Linked DNA regions of Saccharomyces cerevisiae S288C. The protein of the gene in region 2 binds, or shares a complex with, the protein of the main gene of each other region. Each region holds a gene or a part of one and is shown on either strand. Other genes may lie near its edges. The genes, in order: ISW2, ITC1, DPB4 and DLS1.

The links.
Region 1: ITC1 (region 2) and ISW2 share a complex: the UniProt entries of both Saccharomyces cerevisiae proteins name them as parts of the ISW2 complex.
Region 3: ITC1 (region 2) and DPB4 share a complex: the UniProt entries of both Saccharomyces cerevisiae proteins name them as parts of the ISW2 complex.
Region 4: ITC1 (region 2) and DLS1 share a complex: the UniProt entries of both Saccharomyces cerevisiae proteins name them as parts of the ISW2 complex.

Annotation. Positions count from the first base shown.
Region 1 is NC_001147.6:881,577-889,016, reverse strand, and holds ISW2 (DNA translocase), read right to left. Parts: upstream 4,504-7,440; coding exon 1,141-4,503; downstream 1-1,140. Other genes in the region: BIL1 (Bil1p), read left to right, coding at 267-497; carbamoyl-phosphate synthase (glutamine-hydrolyzing) CPA1, read right to left, coding at 4,883-6,118; YOR302W (uncharacterized protein), read right to left, coding at 6,175-6,252; RAX1 (Rax1p), read right to left, coding at 6,745-7,440. UniProt on the Saccharomyces cerevisiae protein: Catalytic component of the ISW2 complex, which acts in remodeling the chromatin by catalyzing an ATP-dependent alteration in the structure of nucleosomal DNA.
Region 2 is NC_001139.9:255,314-262,996, reverse strand, and holds ITC1 (Itc1p), read right to left. Parts: upstream 5,291-7,683; coding exon 1,496-5,290; downstream 1-1,495. Other genes in the region: DNA-binding E3 ubiquitin-protein ligase SNT2, read left to right, coding at 1-1,349; PCL10 (Pcl10p), read right to left, coding at 6,033-7,334. UniProt on the Saccharomyces cerevisiae protein: Functions as a component of the ISW2 complex, which acts in remodeling the chromatin by catalyzing an ATP-dependent alteration in the structure of nucleosomal DNA.
Region 3 is NC_001136.10:691,119-695,340, reverse strand, and holds DPB4 (DNA polymerase epsilon noncatalytic subunit), read right to left. Parts: upstream 1,757-4,222; coding exon 1,166-1,756; downstream 1-1,165. Other genes in the region: serine/threonine protein kinase KIN1, read right to left, coding at 1-641; TRM1 (tRNA (guanine26-N2)-dimethyltransferase), read left to right, coding at 2,080-3,792; COX26 (Cox26p), read right to left, coding at 4,127-4,222. UniProt on the Saccharomyces cerevisiae protein: As accessory component of the DNA polymerase epsilon (DNA polymerase II) participates in chromosomal DNA replication.
Region 4 is NC_001142.9:314,554-317,365, forward strand, and holds DLS1 (Dls1p), read right to left. Parts: upstream 1,005-2,812; coding exon 501-1,004; downstream 1-500. Other genes in the region: MPM1 (Mpm1p), read right to left, coding at 1-319; mitochondrial 54S ribosomal protein bL17m MRPL8, read right to left, coding at 1,206-1,922; COA3 (Coa3p), read left to right, coding at 2,170-2,427; mannose-ethanolamine phosphotransferase LAS21, read left to right, coding at 2,731-2,812. UniProt on the Saccharomyces cerevisiae protein: Functions as a component of the ISW2 complex, which acts in remodeling the chromatin by catalyzing an ATP-dependent alteration in the structure of nucleosomal DNA.

The DNA.
Region 1 (7,440 bases), on a different chromosome or scaffold from region 2:
ATCATGTTTTACCGTTCTTTACCGTGTTTTATATAGGAAGAAGCTTTAGAAATTTGCTGCAGTATTTCGCTTCCTGGTCGTTAATTTCTATGTATCGATCAACCATGTTGTTTTGCTTTTCAGTTGGCCTCGATAAATAATTTGAAAAAAAAAAAAAAAAAAAAAAAACTAGCAAACCAATGAAGCGGCTTGGCTTACAGGTACATTTTACCTTAGCGCTAAATGATATTGTAAATGTGACTTGCATCTTCTGAAGGAGCACTGTAATGAGTACTGAAAAACTGGAAGCTTCGGAGGAACCACAGGCTCCCTTGGCCAATACATCTGAGACTAACTCAATAAAGGGAGATACAGAAAATATTGTAACCGTGTTTGACCTGGCAAATGAAATAGAAAAATCACTAAAGGATGTTCAGAGGCAAATGAAGGAAAATGATGATGAGTTTTCACGCAGTATACAAGCAATTGAAGACAAGCTTAACAAAATGAGTCGGTGAGAGCAGGTGAGTAGTAACATGGAAACTTCTAATGCTTTTATTCATAAAAAAGAAAACGCGTGCTATCGCGTAACTAGGTTGCAATTAACTACAGATCGTGCCAAATACGTGCTTTTTTATATGGTTTAGAAATATTAATCAACTGAAACTTAATAATATATTCGCATGTTTTTGGAGTCTCTGGGATAGCACTTCACCTATCCTTGGAAACTTGAAATGGAGAAGTTTTAACTAAATGACTTTTTTGGCAATTGCTCTCTTATAATTCAGTACACTGTTGTTAATGTAAGTTTGTAGATAAATACAATATGACAAGTATCAAAGCAGGCTTTAGTTTTCAGCAGTTCAATTATCTTAGAATGGATATGAATTAGTTAAAGCGGCTCGACCCAGTTAGACTTAATTTGTCCTCTTCATTCACCATTTTTGCAGCGATATCACATTTCATTGAAGGGAAAAAGGTGACTGAAATATGATTACCTGTCATTTATCATTATCAAACTTGAAGATAGTGGTCAAGAAGTGGCTACGGTTCATTATATAATGCGGTCTATAAGGCTCGTTAGTTTAATTGTATTCAATGAAAAAGTAATATAAAAAATTATATCTCTCACGTCACTTATTTTAATGCACAATACATGATTCATGCTTCTTGATCAATTTTGGTTCTTTTATCAACATGATCGTTTGTATCTTTTTGATTTGTCACCATCGTCGTCGGGAGATTTGGAACCGTTGAAGCTCTAGTGCTTTCATTTTGGGATAAAGGAGTATCCTCTCTAGTCGCTGAAGTTCTACTCCTTTTCTTCTTATTTGCGTCAGGTTGCTCATACTCTCTTACAATTAAAGTTAATAGCGTATGGACTCTTTTTGATAGCTCATGCACCGTTCTTGTCTTTATAAACCAATCAAAAGTGAACAAATCACTCATCATGATTTCTTGCTTTAATTTTTCATAGAGCTTGTCAGCACGAAGTCCGTACTTGTTAACAGCTAATAATAAAAATTTATCTTCTAAGGTATTGTAAGTTCTTCTAGCATTATTAGGTGGATACTGTATTATCAGCTCATGTAATGGATGTTTACACTGTTCGATTTTCTGCCTCAATAGAGTTTCCTGGAATTTCAGTTTTTCATTTTTTTTTTCACCAAGTTCTACATTATGTAAATACTTCTCCCACCCATTGATTTCCTTTAGTCTTTCCCAGAATATTTTTGCATACACTTCAACCTCTTCTGGTGTTTTGGAATCAATAGATTTCTTAATGTTTTCCATATCATCTCTACCGTATTTGGCGCAGGCGTTGATAAACGCCATAAAGTCCCTCTTATTCCAGTTAGTAAAGGCTTTTGATATCAATTCTTGCTTTCGTAATTCATCTTCTTGGGTAAAATCCGGTGCTGAATTAATCTTCTCTTGCTCCTCCTCAATCCTTCTTTTAAGTTCCTCATGGCCTTTATGACCTTCTGTATTAGCGGCATTTTTGTATTCTCCTTCTTCTTCTTCAGCATCGCTTCCTTCATTACGTATATCTCCCGTAATATCATAAGAAGTAACCTTATAGTTGACCTTTTTCTTGAAGTAAAGCTGTTCCTTTTCTTGTAAGGCATCCAACTCCTTGGGGAAGAACTGGAAATCTTGACCGTGTATAACCTTTGGAGCGCGGGGTGCTTTTGGCTGCGGAGTTTGCTTGCTTGCTGATTTAGAGCCACCACCAATAATTTCCTTATAATAATCGTCAACTGAATAAGTGGTTTGCTCTCTTCTTCTTTCTCTTCGGGAAGGATTAATCCATTCAACTACTTTGTCGTTGGATTTTTTTTGAAAGCTTTTACCATTCCATTCGTAAGCAGATTGGTTCTCGATCCCATTGAACTTTTGTAAGTCGTCAAGTCCTAAACTTTGGTATTTGGCATTTAGTTCTTGTGTCTTCTGTTCCCCCTTTTTCAAAATATCATCGATATCAGCATCAACAGTGACTTTACTTGCTTTCTTTTCAAACATATTTTTAGCGCCAAATTGAATCATATCCAACAGATCATCCTTTGAGTTACCAAGAGATGCAGTTTTCTTGCCCGTGCCCTGTTGGATAACCAACTGGTCTAGTCTCAGCTTTTGTGCGGCACGCTCAATGACTTTCTCTTCAATAGCATTTTCTGTGACAAATCTATAAACATGAACTTGTTTCTTTTGACCAATTCTATGCGCTCTATCCATTGCTTGTAGATCAGCTTGAGGGTTCCAATCAGAATCAAAAAGAATAACAGTGTCGGCTGTGACAAGGTTAATACCTAAACCACCGGCACGTGTTGTTAGCAAAAAAACGAACTTTTCAGAATTAGGTTTATTATACTCATCGATAGCTTCTATACGTTCTTCATGGCTAGTAGAACCGTCGATTCTGCAATATTCAAAATCTCTAAAATAGCAATAATCTTCTAAGATATCCAATAGTCTCGACATTTGACTGAAAATCAATACTCTAGATCCCTTTTCCTTCAGTCTTTTCAGTAACTTATCTAATATAATCATTTTCCCGGAATTGAAAATCAAATGTTCATCGGTAGTGTATGGAGGTCCAGGTTCTGCGCCTTCAAAAAGATATGGATGATTACAGCATTTCCTTAATTGCATAACAATATTCAGTAACCTCGTTTTGCCTTCTCTTTTTCCAACAGCACCGTTAACAGCGTCTATATCCTTCTCTAATAATGATTTATACCATTGTATTTGCATGTCTGTCATCCCCACGTAAACATTCGTTTCGATTTTAGGTAGCAAAGATTTTTCGACATCCGCTTTGACTCTTCTCAGTAAAAAGGGGTTTAGTACTGAGTGTAGCTGTTGGATTACAATTTCTTGATCTTGTTCCGAATTGTTTTGTTCGAACCATTCATCAAAAAGTTCAGAATCTCCAAATATATCAGGTAATAAGAAATTTAGCAGGGCCCATAATTCGTGTAGATTGTTTTGTAGAGGCGTGCCCGTAATCAATAATCTATTCTTAGAGTAAAATAATCTAATTATTTGAGATAACGCGCTTTGTTCATTTTTGATCCTGTGAGCCTCATCAATAACAATATATTGCCAAGCTAATCTTTTCAAAGCATTCTTTTCTCTAATGACCATTTCATAAGATGTAATCAATACATCAAATCTAGCTTCTAATATTATATTCCGTACTATATCAGCTCTTGTGTCTTTATCACCATGTAACACAAGGACATTGACGTTTGGAGTCCATTTAAGAAACTCTCGTCTCCAATTATCTAGTGTTGACTTCGGTACTATTATTAGAAAGGGTCCCTCGATTTGTTTGACGTATCTCAAATAACCTAGGAATGAAATTGTTTGTAAGGTTTTACCCAGCCCCATTTCATCGGCCAAGATACCAGATAGTTTGTTTTCGTGCAACGATATTAACCAGTTTAAGCCTTGAACTTGATAGTCTCTTAATTTTCCTGACTTGACGAAGGAGGGAGATTCTGAGACGAATATGTCTTCCTGATATGTATCTACAATCTCTTCTTCCTCATCAGCCATTAATTCAGCATCTTCCTCCTTTTCTGTTTTTCTATGGTGACGTGATGACGAACTGACGGTGCTGTGTGATTTGGAAAGTTTGTTTGCATCAGAATCTAACTGTTTTAAGAGTTTTTGAATATTTTTATCATGTTTTGCCTTAATTCCAATAAAATGACGGAAAAGGTCTGTGACGCCTAATAAATATTTGAATCTTTTGTACGTATCGGACTTGTCCTTTTGCTTGGCGTATTTTGGATCTACATCAAGTACGAATTTTTTCTTTCTTTGAGCCCAATATTCTGGTGGTCTATCTTCTACTGTATATATTTCTTTATCTGATAGCTCTTCACTTTGTCCGATATTATCATCATCACTACTGCCATTTGACTTTGAGTCGAGAGTATCGACTAAAACTTCTGAAGGTGACTCGCTTTTGCTATTCTTGGTATCACTTCGTTGCTCCTCTTGCTGGGTCGTCATGATCTGATTGTAAGTTTTCCTTTTGTTACGACTTAAACCAACAAGACGGGTATTATTGGAAAGTAAATAAAACAAACCACAAAGAAAGAAAACCGTTTGCACAAACTCCTTGAGTTATGCAAATATACTTATCAAAATTTAACTGAAGCTGAAAATTTTTGAGTCTGCTTTATTTGATTTTTTTTTTAGGATGGCAGGATGAAATTAGAGCCATTGTACGTACGTTACGTTTTTTTGTTCATTTAATTACAAGAAGCGCCCGTTAATTATGACAACTGCGAGTAGATACTAAGCAACGACGAGTAGCGCAAAATACCATGAACTGAATTGAATCGTATTTAGATGTACGTATGTGTTACGTAATGTATAAATTTTGTTTTTAGAACAACACTCTTTCCTTGGCCAACTTAGTAACATTTATACTCTGCAATCTCGATTTATCGGTACTGTATGTTACTTTTAGTGAGATTGAACTTTTTGCCTGAGATTGTAATTGGTATTTTTCTATATTATCGAAGAATTTGTCAAAAAGAATAGCTGTGTCTAAGGGACCACCTTTTGCCTCTGGGTGAAATTGGGTAGAAAATATGGGTCTTTGAAGGTGTATCATGCCTTCGTTTGATTTGTCGTTTAAATTAACAAAATAAGGTTTCCATTGGTCCTTTGGTAGGGTCTCAGGATCAACTGCATAGCCATGATTTTGAGATGTAATGTGGCACTGGCCGGTAGTCAAATCCATGGCAGGGATGTTGTGAGCCCTATTACCATATTTCAATTTGTGAGTAGAGGCACCGGAGGCCAGAGCCAAGAGTTGATGGCCTAGACAAATCCCAAAAATAGGGATACAGTCATAAACAGGGTTATTTAGTAATTCCCTGACGTTGGAAATTGTAGCTTGGCATAGTTCTGGGTTGCCTGGTCCATTGGATAAGAAAATACCGTCGAATTCAGAAGCAACATCTTGAATTCTGTAATCATAGGGGAAAACAGTTACATTGGCACCTCTTTTGACTAGGCATCTGATAATGTTTTCTTTAACACCACAGTCAATAAGAGCCACATTTGCCTTAGCCTTCCCAGGTAAGGCAGAGACGTGGAAAGGCTTTTTTGTGGTGACTTGAGCAACCAAGTTAGTTTTCATGGGATTCACGTAGGGGACAGGGTCATGATCAGCCAACGTAATACGGCCCAAAGAAGAACCTTGTTCCCTCAAGTATTGCACTAGTTCACGGGTGTCTACGCCAGTAATAGCAGCAACACCTTCTCTCTGACACCATTGTGCCAGAGATTCAACAGCGGTCCAATGCGAATATTGATAAGCATATTCAGCGACAACGATGCCGACCACATGTATATGCGGAGATTCAAAATACTTCAGTAAATTGTATTCATCGCGGGCTTCGCCGGATGGGACACCGTAGTTACCAATCAAGGGTTGCGTGAAGACTAATATCTGACCACGGTAGGAAGGATCAGTCATGGACTCTGGGTAACCAACCAGAGAAGTAGTGAAAACTGTTTCACCAGCAACAGATTTGTTTGCACCAAAAGATATACCTTCAAAGGAAGGACCATTTTGGATACAGAAAGTAGCTTTTGTTGCAGCGGAGGACATTTGAAATATTTTTAGGAGTGGTTTGTGATAGAATTTCTGATTATTAAGCAATGAAATTAGTGGGAGCTAGTTTTCCAGATGTGGTCAGATATGTAGTCTTGGCAGGTGTATTGAGAGTTCGATAAGCTAAACATATAATGTTTTTTTTATTTCAAATCTGCAAAAAGGGTATGTAGAAGAGTCGATTACCTTGTATTCTTTGCAGTATTTAAACAATTAGATGTTCGAGTGTATCTATGTGTTATAGTTCTGAAGAAAAAAAAAAAAAAAAAAAAGAAAAAGAAACGACGAGTCAAGAAAAGAAAAGAAAAAGGAGGGGCATGAAAAAAGAAATTGACCGAATAATCTAATGAACGTTGGATAGTTAAGTGTCTTACGAGAGAGCCTTATATATCATGTCATCGCCTTTTTTTTCCGCGAGAGGTGATAAGTGAAATCGCAACTATTTACTCATCATGAGGTAATGCGATGCGATGATGAGTCAAACACCCTTCCACGGGAAGCGCCAGCCGGCGCCCTCGGTAAAGCCTGCACTTAACGGCCCCTCGCTGTTTCTTGTACTTAGCGTCACGCGCTATGGAAATATGCGGTGCACAGGTGTTTTTATAGGGGGGTGATGGATTACATCATACACGACGGCCGGGAACACAGCTGAAAATAACTGTGAATGCGGCAGTGGCACCCACTACGAGAAGCAGACACCACAGTCCACGCTTACGTAGAAGCTGCCGAGTAAATGGGTGCTCTATGCGGGTAAGACGGCGCCTACCGCCGAACACCGCAAGTATCATTGGCACGTGATCGGTATCACTAGAAGCATCTCCTTCGTCATTGCCAGCGTTTTTGTGTCTGTGGAGAAGTCTCTGTGTGACGCCAAACCAGGAATACACAATGTCCACTTGATACATGCCACACACAATGCAGTAGCATCCCAGTGTAAATGGCACGACCGTAACGACACGGATTGCGCGACTATACGCCAGGAAGATTAGAACATATCCGATCCAAAAGCCGATGCCTAGCCAGAGCAAACCAAAGCCAATACGACTGATTGACGTGTGATTGGAGAATGGCGAGCGAGAAATGTGCGTCTGGCCTCGAGAGCGATTGCTTTTTTCGTTGGTGACGCCCACTGAGTGGAATCTCCAATCAGATATTTCATCGTGGATGTTGTGTAGTGCGACGCGGCTTAGAAATTTTGGGAAACAATCCATTTCTAGGAATTGGTAAGTTAGGTTTTTTAGGTCGTCAAAAATCTCAATGTCGTACTTTCGCTCGATTTGTACGCTTTCTATTATGCGGTTCCGCGTTTCCATGGGGAT
Region 2 (7,683 bases):
AATATAATGAACCTTCAACGAAGAAGATCAAAATGATCAATGACATAGCGTTAAGTAATCCGTTAAACGAACCAAACGGGGCATCGTACAATTATACAGTTATTTCACATTCTAAGGAAACTTCTGTCGCCCTTGAAAAATACCATGATGGTAATAAACCGAGCAAAATGTTAGAGAAAGACATGATTTTGAAACACACTAAGAATAAACCAAAAAATCCTGATACAGCATGGGCAAATAATAGCGCAAGGACTTTTTGTAGTGTCTGCAAAGAAAAATTTAACGACAATGACAACTATGAGGTAGTATGTGGTAATTGTGGACTTACAGTACACTACTTCTGTTATGCTATTAAACTGCCGAAAGATATGAAGAAAAACACTAACCTTAAGACATTTAAATGGTTATGTGACCCTTGTTCAAATGACCTCAATCCTATAATATCAACGACCTACCAATGTAGTATGTGTCCTACGAAGGACTATGACTATGATAGATATAGGAGCCAATCATTTAAAATATGTCCAGACGCATTGAAATGCACGAGCTTAGGGACATGGGTGCATTTGGTTTGCTCACTTTTCAATGAAGATATCAAATATGGAAACGGACAATCAATGCAACCTGCCCTTAATACCACTGCTGTGCTTATTAAACATAGTAGATTTACATGTGGTGTGTGCAGGATAAATGGAGGTGGGTTAGTGAAGTGTAACAAATGCCAATATAGGTATCATATTACATGTGCACAGAACAGCTCCAATTTTAAGCTTATGTTTGAAAAGAAAAATATGTCTGTAGACACCACTCTACCGTGCATAAAGGATGTCAAGCTTAACGATACATACACTTTGAGACCTATACTAATATGCGATAGACACGATATCAGCTTAGAAGGAAACGAACTTTATCCATTATCGTACAAGCCTCAACATACTCTGTCATACATAGAACAATACTGCAGATATTATAAGTGCGAATCTGACCATAGTCTAGTGGAGTTGAGATATTTTGAACAGCTTAGACTGCGACACGGCGAAATGCCAGGAAACTCACACGACTCTGCTATTAAACCCAAAATTTACGTACTTCCTTTCGAAAGGACTTGCCCACATTGTGGTACAAACAAAAGTTTATACTGGTATGAAGATATTATTTGCCATTCTTGCAATTTGAGATCAGGTGCCCAAGAACTCGATTTTGATAGCGCATCTGCTAATATCTCTAACGATAACGGTTTACCAGTCGAAATTACCCAGCAATTGATGGAAGGAATTGAGCCAGCTATGTTTGATATCGATATTTCAGAAGCTGGTACCGACAAAAATACGCATCCATCAAGCCAGTAAGTGATAGTTACCTTAGATAGAAAGTATGGTCCAATCTTGCGCGGCTTTGTTGTGTTATTTTTTTCCATTATGCTTACAATGAATAATCTTATCCTATTTATGAATACTACAATTTACCATCAGTTACAAAGGAAGTTTTTTATATATTAATTTGGGGCAGGTGTTACTGTTCTTGAGGTTTGGCCCACTATATCTTTTAATTTATCGTCTACTGTTTCAATGACACCACTCCTTTTATTACCAGATGCATTTTTGCGAAGTGAGGAACCCCATATCGAATTTGCTAAAACGTTTTTCCAAGCTATCACATCTTCCATAGCTTTAAAATGTCTATAATTGACTAAGTCAGTCAATATTTCAATCTGCTTATTCACCTTATTACCACGGGAGATTTTGGTTCTTTTCCTTTCTGAACGGGCTAAAATCCTCGCGCCTGGCCTCTGCGAATTTATTATGGATTTTTTCTGTTCCAAGAGTTCATCTCTCTGATCTTCTAATTCTTGTATTCTATTAAGAACATTGCGTGTTTTCGAGCTATCATCTAGCTTCATGAGTTCGTCTGCAATCACCTCCAACTTTTCGTCTATCACAGCTTCTCTCTTCTCTTCGGCATCAACCTGTACATCAACCTCACTTTTAACACCGCTATTTTTATCATCAACATCCATACTATCAACGTTCAATTCGTTTTCGGTAAATTCATTATTTTCTAACTCCTTTAGCAACTTTTCTTCATTTTTGGTGAATGCTGTCAGTGACAGCGCATGGTCGCGCAAGCTAAGGGAACTTTTAATTCGTTCCATTATGGGTCTGATTTGCCTCAAGAGATCATGCTCTTTGCGACCCCAATTATCTAACCAGTCCATTATTCTTGACAAGTCCTCTAACTTGTCAATGCAATACCATTGATCTGGTGATAGTAGCAACCTTGAAGGTGTTTCATCCATAATTTTCTTTTGAATAGGTGTCAGCTCTATAAGTGGGTTTACGCGATCATTACTGTCCAATAGTTCGACCTCTATTCCATTTTCTACGTAATTATAAGATCCGGAACTAGTTTTGGAGATACCAAATACTTCCCTAGTTGCCTCGGATATTCCTTCGGAATTTCTGATTTTTTGCCAATTGCTCAATTGCTCATCACTGACGTTCAAAAAGAATTTCGCCGATGATGCTTTAGGTCCCTGAATTAATAAACGACCGGAGTGATAACTCAAACTATTGTTACTTTTCGGCGTCTCATTCATACCAGCAGGATATTGAGGAAATGGAACACCATTGTGATCCAGCCAAAAATACCTGTTCCCGTATCGATCCAATCCCAACGGCTTTAATCTTTGTAGATCGTTTTCAAATAGACAATTATCGAGGAAATTTTTATCTGATTGTAAAGCTTGTACCTTTTTATCCTGCTCTTCAATTAACTTTTGCTTTTTCTCAATGATAATAAGATCAATTGGTTCACTATTTGATTCGGAATCATCTTTTTTATCGGCACCATCGGCTGATGGTGTGTTTTCATCTGTTTTATTTAACTTCTCTTGAATTGCCTGCAGGTCGCCTTGAAGATTACTTAAGACGGCTGCCTCCGTTTTCAACTCTCTCGCAACTTTGAATCTTTCGCTACGAATTTGACCACATAGTTCCATGGAATCATCTACAGCAGCTTTGATATCTGGAGAAAAATGCGATACGAGATCTACAAGTATCCACAGCGCATTGACTTTGTCACTGAACGACAGCTTTCGACAGAAATTTCTCCAAAGCTGTTTGGGCAATTGAGTAGCTGATATATCTTTGGGTATGATCTTTTCTATGAAAGAATCAATAAACTCTGTATACATGGGAAGATGTCTACAATCTTCTAAGACTCCCAGTAAAATTATTAGCCAGTAACTGTTATTAAATTGCCTTTTCGTCAAGCGTTCTATCCAGTTAACATTGCGGTAGTTCAAACACTTTTCTAATTTAGGATCTCGTTCTTCACTGTCAGAATCAGATTTAGAATCAGATTCTGAATTTGTTTCGTTTTTAGCGTCTGATTCTTTTTGAACTTCTGTTGCGTTTTCCTTTAATGTGTCCTTTAGGTTGTCGATCTTTTCCTTATCTTGTAAAAAGTATCCGTGAGCATTTCGTTTTTGCTTCGCCTCCCCCTCCCCTCTTTCATCTTTTCTCTCCATAAGGACTCCCTTGTCGTCTATTATCCAGTTTTCAACGACGATGCAACTCCAATCGCCTTCTTCGTTGATGAACAAACGTAAGAGCGCAGTAAAAACTTCAATGAGAAGAGCAGACCCATTATGATTGATATTATCAAGTATATCATCGGATGCTGGGTCATCGTGAACAATCTTGTACTCAACCTTGTCGGAATTTCTTTTCATTATCATATCACGAATAAATGAATTTCTTTGCCAGTCACTTGGGTTTTCAGAGTCTTCCTCAGTAGTAGTCTCTGCTTTGTTTTTCATCGGCAGGCCGTTATTTTCAATTTCTTGTTCTTTAGACGTTTGCGTTCTTATGTTCACTAAAACAACTTCGCCCTTTAACTCATATGGGTCTGTACATTTCAAAGAAGTAATGAATTGGTCAAGGCTAAAATGAGAGAGACAAATTTTCGAACCAAACGTATTCAGAAACTGATAGGCTTGTAATAGCTTTCCAAAAGAATCAAAAGGTCTGGAAAGTTTTGTAGAACCTAATGAAATACATTCTAATTTTTCATTATAATACGTTAAGTTTGGAAAGATGTTCGGTGGATGTTGATATGGCAAAGCTAGGTCATCCATTATGCTCGTTATTGTTACAGCCTGAGGCTCCGCATTAGCTGGTGTAGGAACGCTTTCGACGTTTTCCGTGTTCGGTTCCTCATTGGCTTCCTTTTTCCTTTTTTTAGAATGTGTTTCTGATGTGACATTTTGACCCTTCTTCTTGTCTTCTTCCGAAGAATTATTCTCAGAATCATTTACTTCGGTTGGCTTTCTTTTTTTCTTGGTTTCTTTTTTGTTAGAAGCATCGTTTGAGGTGTTACTTTTACCCGATGATTTACTTTGACGTTTATTCTTTTCACTTTCTGGGGATGAAACATTGGCACTGTTGGAACGTCTTGCTACGACAGGTTCATCTTCTTTATATTTTAACATATCTTTTGGCCATTCCATCGTTAAACCATACATCGCTAAATATTCCGGTTTGACACACCAAGGTGCACCCATTTTCGAAGATGCCCTCTGTAAAGTAATCTTGAAAAAACATTTGATTAAGTGCTTAGTGAAAGTGGAACGGTCCCTGTAAATTTGTCCTTGATCAACAATGAAGGATTTATTACTGGAAGCTGCTTCTTCTATCAGCATGTATTTAGTATGAGCGGGCATCACAATTTCCCTGCTCTCTGGATTTATCGTTGCGTTAAATTGGACCTTTTCTTTGATAACATAACGTCTTTGGTATTGGTACTGCGGTAAGCCAGGATTACCAACACTGTTGATTTCGACCATATCATCAGGTTGAGGAGTACTTTGTTGGGAATTAGAGCTTGTGGTAGAAGAGTCTTTCTGTTTACGTAGATAAACAACTTCTCCTGGGAAAAAGTCATTTTTAAATCTTGCGTAAACTTTCTCCACCAATGCATCTAACCTTCTTATTCCGTTAAAATGTAAAAATCTTGCAACTGGTTCTCTCAACTTTAATGGGAATCTGTCTTCGACGTATTTGAATTGTGTCTCCTCACTATCCAGAGCTTGGAAAAAAGTCAGGCAAGAAGTACCAGTGATTTCGCATGTAAAATGGTGGCGTGTGTAGAAATCAAACCTTTCTAAAAATTCTTCGTAACTAGAAAACCATTCTCCAGTCTCTTCAATATGCCATACTTGTACATTCAAATCCAATGGTAAAGGTTTTGGATCAGGAAGTAATATAGGTTTCCTTTTATATAACACCATTGTTTATTAACGGCTTTCTTTACTTCCTCCTATTGTTATTTTCTTTTTTTATATATCTTCAATGGAAGTGCTATAGTAATTGTAAAAATCTGGATATATCTGCCTATTTCCAACAGTAATTGAGTGTGATGTATCTAATGTCAGTTGAATTGTTTACAGCCTTTTAAATAGTTATGTATTTAACCCAATATATGTTTTTCTGAATTTTTTCAGGAGAAATACAAAGAAAAGAAGAAGAGCAAGAAAGAGGATTTTTCTGATCGGTATTATCCTTTTTATTTTTTTTCTATTTCTACACTTTTTTTCCTCTATAATTTTCCTTTATTATTTTTCATTTCGGGTTTTCTCACCACGTTAAAAATGGATAATAAACTTAAAAGAAATAAAACCATGAAATATTTCTATTTTAAGGTTAGACAATACAGAAGGGACAGAGAAAGATGTGTAGGCAAATATACATTTGTTTGAACCATAGATTCAACAGTAATTTAATGCGAGTAAAAAAATCACATTTTTATGTGCGTTTCGAGAGCATCAATTAAGAATCCGGGATAACTGTTGGGAAGCTCTGAAGTTTTCTCCAATATCGAGTACAGGTTTCCACCATTGCACGGAAATATAAACAGACTAAGTTTGTCGTTGTTTTATTGAGAAATTGTTTGTATCATATTACCAGTGCCGCTATTGACTGGAAAGCATTCGTTACGTTCGTTAAAATAATTATCTAAAATACTTGTATCAACTATACACAGAAGGACCGTAGTTCATTCAAAAGTAATTTGGAGGCGGCTAATTTCCTGTTACTGACCATTAATTTAGTATTGCACACACAGATCAATAGACTGACTTCTAATTTAGTCAAAAGCCGTTTCGAAATACCGCATACTTTACTAAAATATTCATGTGAGTGAACGAAATCTTCCAATAATTTCGTGCTCAATCTAACCGCTGCTATTATCATTCGATGGACCTCCTTTTCCTGTAAGTTTAACTTCAACTGCAAAATGTTATTGCCATCCCTTGTTAAAAACAACGTGTCAATTAAAAATGTTGCCACAAGGTAAACAGTTGGCTGGTACTCACATTTGTCTTGGATTCTCTTGAGAAAATCTGCTGATGATAAGGTGGGTTTACTTTTCATGTAGAAATTCGAGTATTCTTTTTTCTCCACTCTAGTATTGAAACCGGTACACTTTCTATTGCCACTAAGTTTTAGTAGTAGTTCTATGGTTTCCTTGAAATTCGCCAGAGCTTCATCAACCGATATGTGGGGCACTTCTACATCAACCGGTATGCCATGTAGCAACGGGTTTTCACTTTCGGACTTAGTTTTTTCTTGATCTTCTTCTTCATCGTGTGGTAGACTGATATGCAACCCTCCCATATCAAAGCTTGTAATGCTGCTACATTCAGAAAAAATGGAGTCATCAATATCTTGCTCCTCCACATCCGTAGCATCGCCAATTTCGAAACTGGCAGTTGGAGATTTGAAGAGTGGTGATCTACGGCGAGGTATGCTTAGCCCGTTTTGTTGATGGAAAAGATCTTTATCAAAAATAGAACTTGTGCAACCCGTGGTATCCTCTAGCTCATCATCACTTAGTTCAAAATTGGACGTTGAGCTAAAATTAGTGCCATTAATACACGCGCTCGAATCATCACCCATGGAACTATATAATCCTTTCCCTCCATTCAATAGCCCCACCTGAAAATTGTTTATGTTCTCTATATTCTGCGCCAAATAATTATTCATTTCATTAGCGGATTCCAACAGTTGCTCTACATGTATTCTATTTTTTGAACTATCTGTTGTACCGCATGGCTGTGCTTTCTCAGTCTTGCCTTCTGCAAGACCAGGCGTATTTGATCTAGACTGGTCCCATTCACTTGTTAAATCTGAGAAATTCTCACTCTGTAAAAACTTTGGTTTCAAAGGTAATTCGAACGAAGCGTTATAATCGTCCACAATTCCCAAACTGACTGGACGTATATCACCATCATCAAACTCCTCTGTGTCAGTGGTGTGGTTTTTAGTCATGTCCATTTTGCAAGTAATCTATTTGCGCATGGAATACCTATATTATGCGAGTCGAAGATTATATAATAGCAGGTATGGTTGAACTGATTGAACACCAAAGCATATCGATCTGTGAAATTCACTCAACATGCTTTTAAAGTAAGGCAAGTTCTAAGTGATTTCCTACAAAACATCGCTGAGAAAGGAAAGAAAAATGGCATGATATGGAGTAAGAATCGGATCGGTGCAATATACTCCGAGCTTCCCGAAAAGATATATTCCGGGCCCAAAAATATCTGGCTAAAACTATGCATAATACTTTTACTACTTAGAGTCATACGTATTAAAAAAGGTATTTAAAAAGATGGAGATATGT
Region 3 (4,222 bases), on a different chromosome or scaffold from region 2:
GTGCACATCTCAAAAAGTCTACATATGTGTGGATGATATAAGATTTGTCCCAAGGACGCTTCTCGAATAGTTCTTTTGTCCCTAGATATTTCCTTCTCTAATTTCTTCTGTCTCTCCAAAACATCTTGTTCATTTTTGGGTGGTGGCAGCATTTGTTCTTTATGTAGGAAAGCCTTTGTAGCACGGTTTACAATTTTTACTGCACAAACCTCATTAGTGTAACGATGTTTTGCCAGCTTCACTTTACCCATAGAACCTGCACCAACTGTTTCAACAAACTCCCAATCTCCTAACGATTTTCGATGAAACTGCTTAGGCATGCCCTGAGAAGACGAAACTCGACTCTGGCTGGTAGTATTTGGCTTTGGTGCATTCTCTCTCGATTTACCTTCAAGTTCTACTTGTCTCTCCTTTTGCTCTGCTTGATGTGAGTTACCATTATTGGCGTATTTGATATCCGCCGGGGGCATTAGCGGTGTGTTCTGCTGCTGCTGCTGCTGTGGACTTTTTCCCATCATTCTCAGCGTAGCGGGCGCCATAGTGCTTGGTTGTGTATGCATGCTGTTGCTTTCACTATTGCCATCATCCTGCTGGTTACCTCTGCCCATTGAGAAGGCAGTATTTACGTGATAATCATCCATATTCTACGTGAGCAAAAAGTAATCGTAATAAACTGTACCTGTTTAAAAGAAGTTGAAAAAAAAAATGCGTAATAGCCCAAAATCCCTAGTATATTCAGTTGCTCTAATCGGAGCAAAGATGTTTGAATTTTACTAATCAATAGTTGGAAAATGAAAGACCGATAGGGTAGGGGGGCGAAGGGTGACAACTAATTATGTTAACTAGCCTAGGTTACCGTATGTCCTTATAATAACGAAGTAAATCTCAAAAAATTTCAAATCACAAAGTGGCTCTAACTAAACCTGCTTGATATCGTATCTCGCTAATACACTTCCTCAACGCCATAATTTCTTGTTAACGTTCCACCAATATCAACTTCTTGTCCCCTTTCTTTCCTTCCGCATTGGCGCCGCGTTGGGTTCCCCGGCTTGCAAATAACGACGATGAGTATAGCTTATTATGTATGTAGGTAATAAAGGCAAGTTACATACTACGATCCTGTGGGAGTGGTGGCAAGCACTACTAGACAGTTTCCATAGCGGGGTTACGTTTGCTCAAGGTTTTGAACTCTAGTTTCTACATCTTGGCTCTCCGTTTTCTGTTTCTTTTCGGAGGACTCTTCTACGTCCTGTAATGCATCGCCTTGTTCTTCTATTTCGTCATGCTCTTTAACCTTTTCCACGGGCACATTCTCCTTATCTTCACCCATATCTATATCGCCATCAGCATCTACTTCACCACTATCTAGTTTTTCCTTCTTCCTCTGTTCAACAGCAGCTTGGTATTCATCTAGTTTATCTCTAACCGGACCCTTCAATGCCGAGTGTCCTATATGGTCCAAAGCACTCAGAACATCATCTACACTGCAGCTTTTTTTATCTTGACTCTTTGCAATTTCCCTTGCAAACAGGAGCAAGTGGTTAACAAATACTGTAGCACCACGCTGTAACGCTAGTGATGCGTCTTTATTTATCAGCAGCTTTTTGCCGCTTTGCTGTGGCACTTCGCGTGCCAAATTCACAATAGTGCTTTTAGGAAATAACAGGTCCTGAATCGTAATGTTCTCTTGTTCTTTAATATACGAAGTAGTGGGGTAATTCCCTTGGGCGTCTTTTCTCCAACCTTTTGGTGGCATCGTGTGTAAAAATATATGGTCTGATATAAATAAGCAATGAAAGGCTTGACTTCTATTTCAAAGTATTAAATAATTAAAAAAATCCTTCCTTTCACCTAAAACCTCTAGGTAATATTCTGTGGCTTCTGCTATTGTGCCGCTATGAATAACAATTTTAAGCTCTGATGATCGAATCTGGTTTTTAACGTTATTCCAATTTGAGCCTTTCTTTATTCGTCCAAAGGGATAAAGCATTATTTTTTTTTCATCGCATTCAATGCTCATCGCAAAGTTACAGATCCTGAGCAGTCATAAGTTGATACCTTTCCTCTTACAATGTAGATATGGAAGGTTTCTTCAGGATACCCCTCAAGCGGGCAAATTTACACGGAATGTTGAAGGCTGCTATATCCAAAATTAAAGCGAATTTTACCGCGTATGGTGCACCAAGAATCAATATTGAGGATTTCAATATAGTCAAGGAAGGAAAAGCAGAAATTCTTTTCCCTAAAAAGGAAACTGTTTTCTATAATCCCATCCAACAATTTAATAGAGATCTAAGTGTTACATGCATCAAGGCGTGGGACAACCTATATGGTGAGGAATGTGGCCAAAAGAGAAATAATAAAAAAAGTAAGAAGAAAAGGTGCGCGGAAACTAACGATGATTCTTCCAAGCGTCAAAAAATGGGAAACGGGTCACCAAAAGAAGCCGTTGGTAATTCTAATCGAAACGAACCTTATATAAATATTTTGGAAGCATTGTCAGCCACTGGGTTAAGAGCCATTAGGTATGCTCATGAAATTCCCCATGTGAGGGAAGTTATTGCTAACGATTTACTTCCAGAGGCTGTCGAATCTATAAAACGAAACGTTGAATATAATAGTGTCGAAAACATTGTCAAGCCAAACCTTGATGATGCTAATGTCTTAATGTACCGTAACAAAGCGACGAATAATAAGTTTCACGTCATCGACTTGGATCCTTACGGTACCGTTACACCTTTTGTAGATGCGGCTATTCAGAGTATTGAGGAGGGTGGTCTAATGCTGGTAACTTGCACTGATTTATCCGTTTTGGCCGGTAACGGATACCCAGAAAAGTGTTTTGCCTTATATGGTGGTGCAAATATGGTTTCTCATGAATCAACTCACGAAAGTGCGCTGAGACTAGTATTGAACTTACTAAAGCAAACTGCCGCGAAATACAAGAAAACTGTGGAACCGCTTTTGTCGTTGAGCATTGACTTTTACGTCAGAGTTTTTGTCAAAGTCAAAACAAGCCCGATTGAAGTCAAAAACGTTATGTCAAGTACTATGACTACTTACCATTGTTCCCGTTGCGGCTCTTACCACAATCAACCTCTGGGCAGAATTTCTCAACGCGAAGGTAGGAACAACAAAACATTCACCAAATACTCGGTTGCGCAAGGGCCTCCGGTTGATACTAAATGTAAGTTCTGCGAGGGGACATACCATTTAGCTGGTCCAATGTATGCAGGACCTCTACACAACAAGGAGTTCATCGAGGAGGTGTTGAGAATTAATAAAGAAGAGCATCGTGACCAGGATGATACATATGGAACACGTAAAAGAATTGAAGGTATGCTATCTCTAGCTAAGAATGAATTATCCGATTCGCCATTCTATTTCAGTCCTAACCATATTGCATCGGTAATAAAATTACAAGTACCTCCCTTGAAAAAAGTAGTCGCAGGCCTAGGTTCCCTAGGCTTTGAATGTTCATTGACACATGCCCAACCATCGTCCCTAAAGACTAACGCTCCATGGGATGCAATCTGGTATGTGATGCAGAAATGTGATGATGAGAAGAAAGACTTAAGCAAAATGAATCCAAATACTACGGGCTATAAGATTTTATCGGCAATGCCAGGATGGTTGAGTGGCACTGTCAAATCAGAGTATGACTCAAAGCTGTCGTTCGCACCAAATGAACAAAGCGGTAATATTGAAAAACTAAGGAAGCTAAAAATTGTGAGATATCAGGAAAATCCAACAAAGAATTGGGGCCCAAAAGCCCGTCCCAACACTTCATAAGAATTTTGATTAGTGTTAGAGCTAAAACGTAAGAAACTAAGGATCCGCCCGAGAACGGTATAATGGACGGAAAAGAATGCTTCTCTTTTGTAATATAGATGTTTAAAGTAATCAGGAGGGCAGTATGTATGTGTAAAAAATAAATAAATATATATATATATTTGAGGAACCAGATCTCAAATGAAAAATATAAGCCAGTATATTTTTTGCATTGTAGCCACTGTTGTAACCTCTGGGCATATAAATAATAATGTATAGCGCCTAGTATCAAACTAAACTCGCCATGTTGGTAGTGTTACACTCATTTTTAGCAAATTTTTTTTTCTTATCAAACTCATGCTTTTCTTGCCTTACTAAAGAAGTATACAGCACCAGGCCAACCTAAACAAACGCTCAATACTGCACTCCATTGAAAGATTTCTGGAATGAG
Region 4 (2,812 bases), on a different chromosome or scaffold from region 2:
GAGGGGGGATAGCCTTACTTGGGACAAGACATTTCCAAATCCCTTGGGTGGTCCATGCAGACTGGCCCTTAAGTTCTTCGCACTTGTCAAACTGCTTCACCGTAGGGATTCCGGACGCCATGGCAAGTGCACTATCTCCAAGATCTCTGAAGTTGAAATTGAAGGGCAGTGGTAGGAGTGGATTATCGTATTCATCAATATCCCTTAACTTTGGAAAGAGGTTCCAGAAGGGTGCCGTTGCGAACTTTTGATCTTTGATATATTTGTCATTAAATGCCTTGGTGTTGGCATCATTGTCATCGCCTTCATAAAAGCCCATATCGAGTAAACGGTTTGTCGGTTTCCTTTGTCTTTCTTGTCCTTTTCGTTTGTAACCTCCTAAATTCAAGGCTTAATATTTTTTTTTTCCCCTTTACTTAATTAACGTATAAAGAAACTATGTTGTTCTACAGATCGTGAGAGAGAGAAGAAAAATCCTTCTATGCAATGTGCTTGTGTAGTTATTCTTGATCAGTAACGTCTTCGTCGTCGTCTTCGTCATTATCAAGATCAATCTCGACAATGTTGGGCTTCGGAGCCGTATCGTTCACCACATAGGCGGAGTAAACTTCATTAGGGGGCATGACACTTGTAGTATATCTAACTCGGTTTTCTTCCACTAGAAGCCTCAAATTCTTTGTTGTTGGTATCACATCATTCAAAAACTGCAGATGGCCGTCAGAAGAGTGCACAATTGCGGCAGAGATGTCATCGTACGACAGCGTGAGTTCATCTGGGAGCGGCGGTACCTGTTGTTGTTGCTGCTGCTGTTGCCTATGTAGGGACTCATGTGTCAGCACCTGGACGAAGAATTCTGTAGCAAACGCTGTGGCTACGAATGCGTCATCCGAAGTGTCCATATATTCTGGATCATTCTTGGCTATTCTCTGCACTTTTTCTACAGGTAACTTGGGCGAACACAGAGGTGCAGACGCCGTTTCTTTACCACTAGTCTCGTTGTTCATTGTGTTAGCCTGATCACATCGAGCGAGCTATCCTGACGCTATTCTCTCTTGTTTCTTCTGTTTTGTTTCTCTTACATTTTTCATTTTTTTCTCTAGTTGGAAAAAAAAAAAAACACTATATTAGAATACGCACATTGTTAGCGCTGTTCTTTCAATTGTCATCTATATATTTACAAGGGAATACACAAAATCCTGGTTTTTTTAAGGTCTGGGAACCATGACATAGGAGGAGGGTTTCTTCGTCTTCTTTGGCAATGACGAAGAGTAGACCTCCTTCAAAAGTGCCTGCGTCCTTTCGTTTTCGAGTGCCTCATCATAGGGAAGGGACATTTCCTTGAGTAAGACCTGCTTGATGAGCATAATTTCACCATGTAGCTGCGCTTCTGCTTTAAACTTGGCCACTTTGTGAAGATTCTGCAATGTGAGTGGGTTATGAGGTAGCTGGTTGGCGTCATCGTTGATGACTGACTTGACTAACAGCCACATCTTTAAATTGCCCCTGTTCACCGTATGCGATTCGGACATCACGGGAGAGTCGACTAGTTCCAAGACGGATTGCGGCGCTGAGTCGTTAGCCCTAGGCTCTAACCGCAGCACACGCGTGTACCCACCGGGCCTTTCCAAGTACCGCGGTGCGATCTCGCTGAACAACCGCTTCATCAACTTTCTGTTGTCTCCTGCTAAAAACAATTGGCTCTGAATTTGGGACTTTAATTCCGCCTGTGCAACACTATTACTTGTCGTTATTGCCCTCTTTGTCCAGGTAATGATCCGCTCTGCGACCCTGGAAGCCTCTTTACATTTGGCATGCGTTGACACTATAGATTCATGCTGAAACAACTGGCACGCAAGGTTTTTTAGCAGCGCATCCCTATGCGCCTTGTCCCTAGAGAGTTTCCTAGCAATACCCACTGTCATTGTTGCGCTCGACTGTGCTTCTCACCGTTTTTTCTCCTTGGCGTAGCCAAATCTCTTGACCGTTATAAGCTGTTTTAGCTTGTCAAATCCCACTTGTTCTTGTTAACCAACTTTTCCCGCCTCGTACGCGGTGACAGACAAAGCAGTGATTTTTGCTCATTGTATAAAGGGAGTCTTTACTATGGTGGCATAAGCAACAATACTACGTGAGCAGCAACGAAAGCACATATATAGACGACAAAGTAGTATGGTTTTGAATCCGTCCAAGTACCAAGACACCCGCACGTGGAAGATGACGCCTGCCATGATCAGGGCCCGTAAACCCTTTTTCAAAGGCAATATGCTCGGTCTCACGCTGCTGCTGGGTGTCACGGGCTCTGTTTACTACTACACATATCATTTTCTGCACAAGGACAACGACTTTGCAGACGTGCCCATTCCACCCATCGATCCGCAGGAGCTCGAGGCTCTCAAAAAGGAGTACGAAGCCAAGAAGAAGGCATGAAAAGACCGTTAATGTGGAGGTACGCTGTGGTCTTCCATCAATAGGCTTTGCGCTGTTCTTCTCTCCTCTTTTGTAAATAGTTTACCTACTTGCGTATATGTATATATATATATATATAGATATGCTTATACGGATATATACATACATTCTGTTTGTTTATACTCTTTGTCCTACTCTAACAGCCAGCTCTTTAGTTTAAGAATATGATGAAAAACTCAGTTTGGGAAAAAAAAGGAAAATGTTAAAGTATAAACAATATCGAAATAAGTTCATCTACCACGCACACTTCACCAAGTTAGCAAGATGAACTTGAAGCAGTTCACGTGCCTATCATGCGCTCAATTACTCGCTATTCTGCTCTTTATCTTTGCTTTTTTCCCTAGAA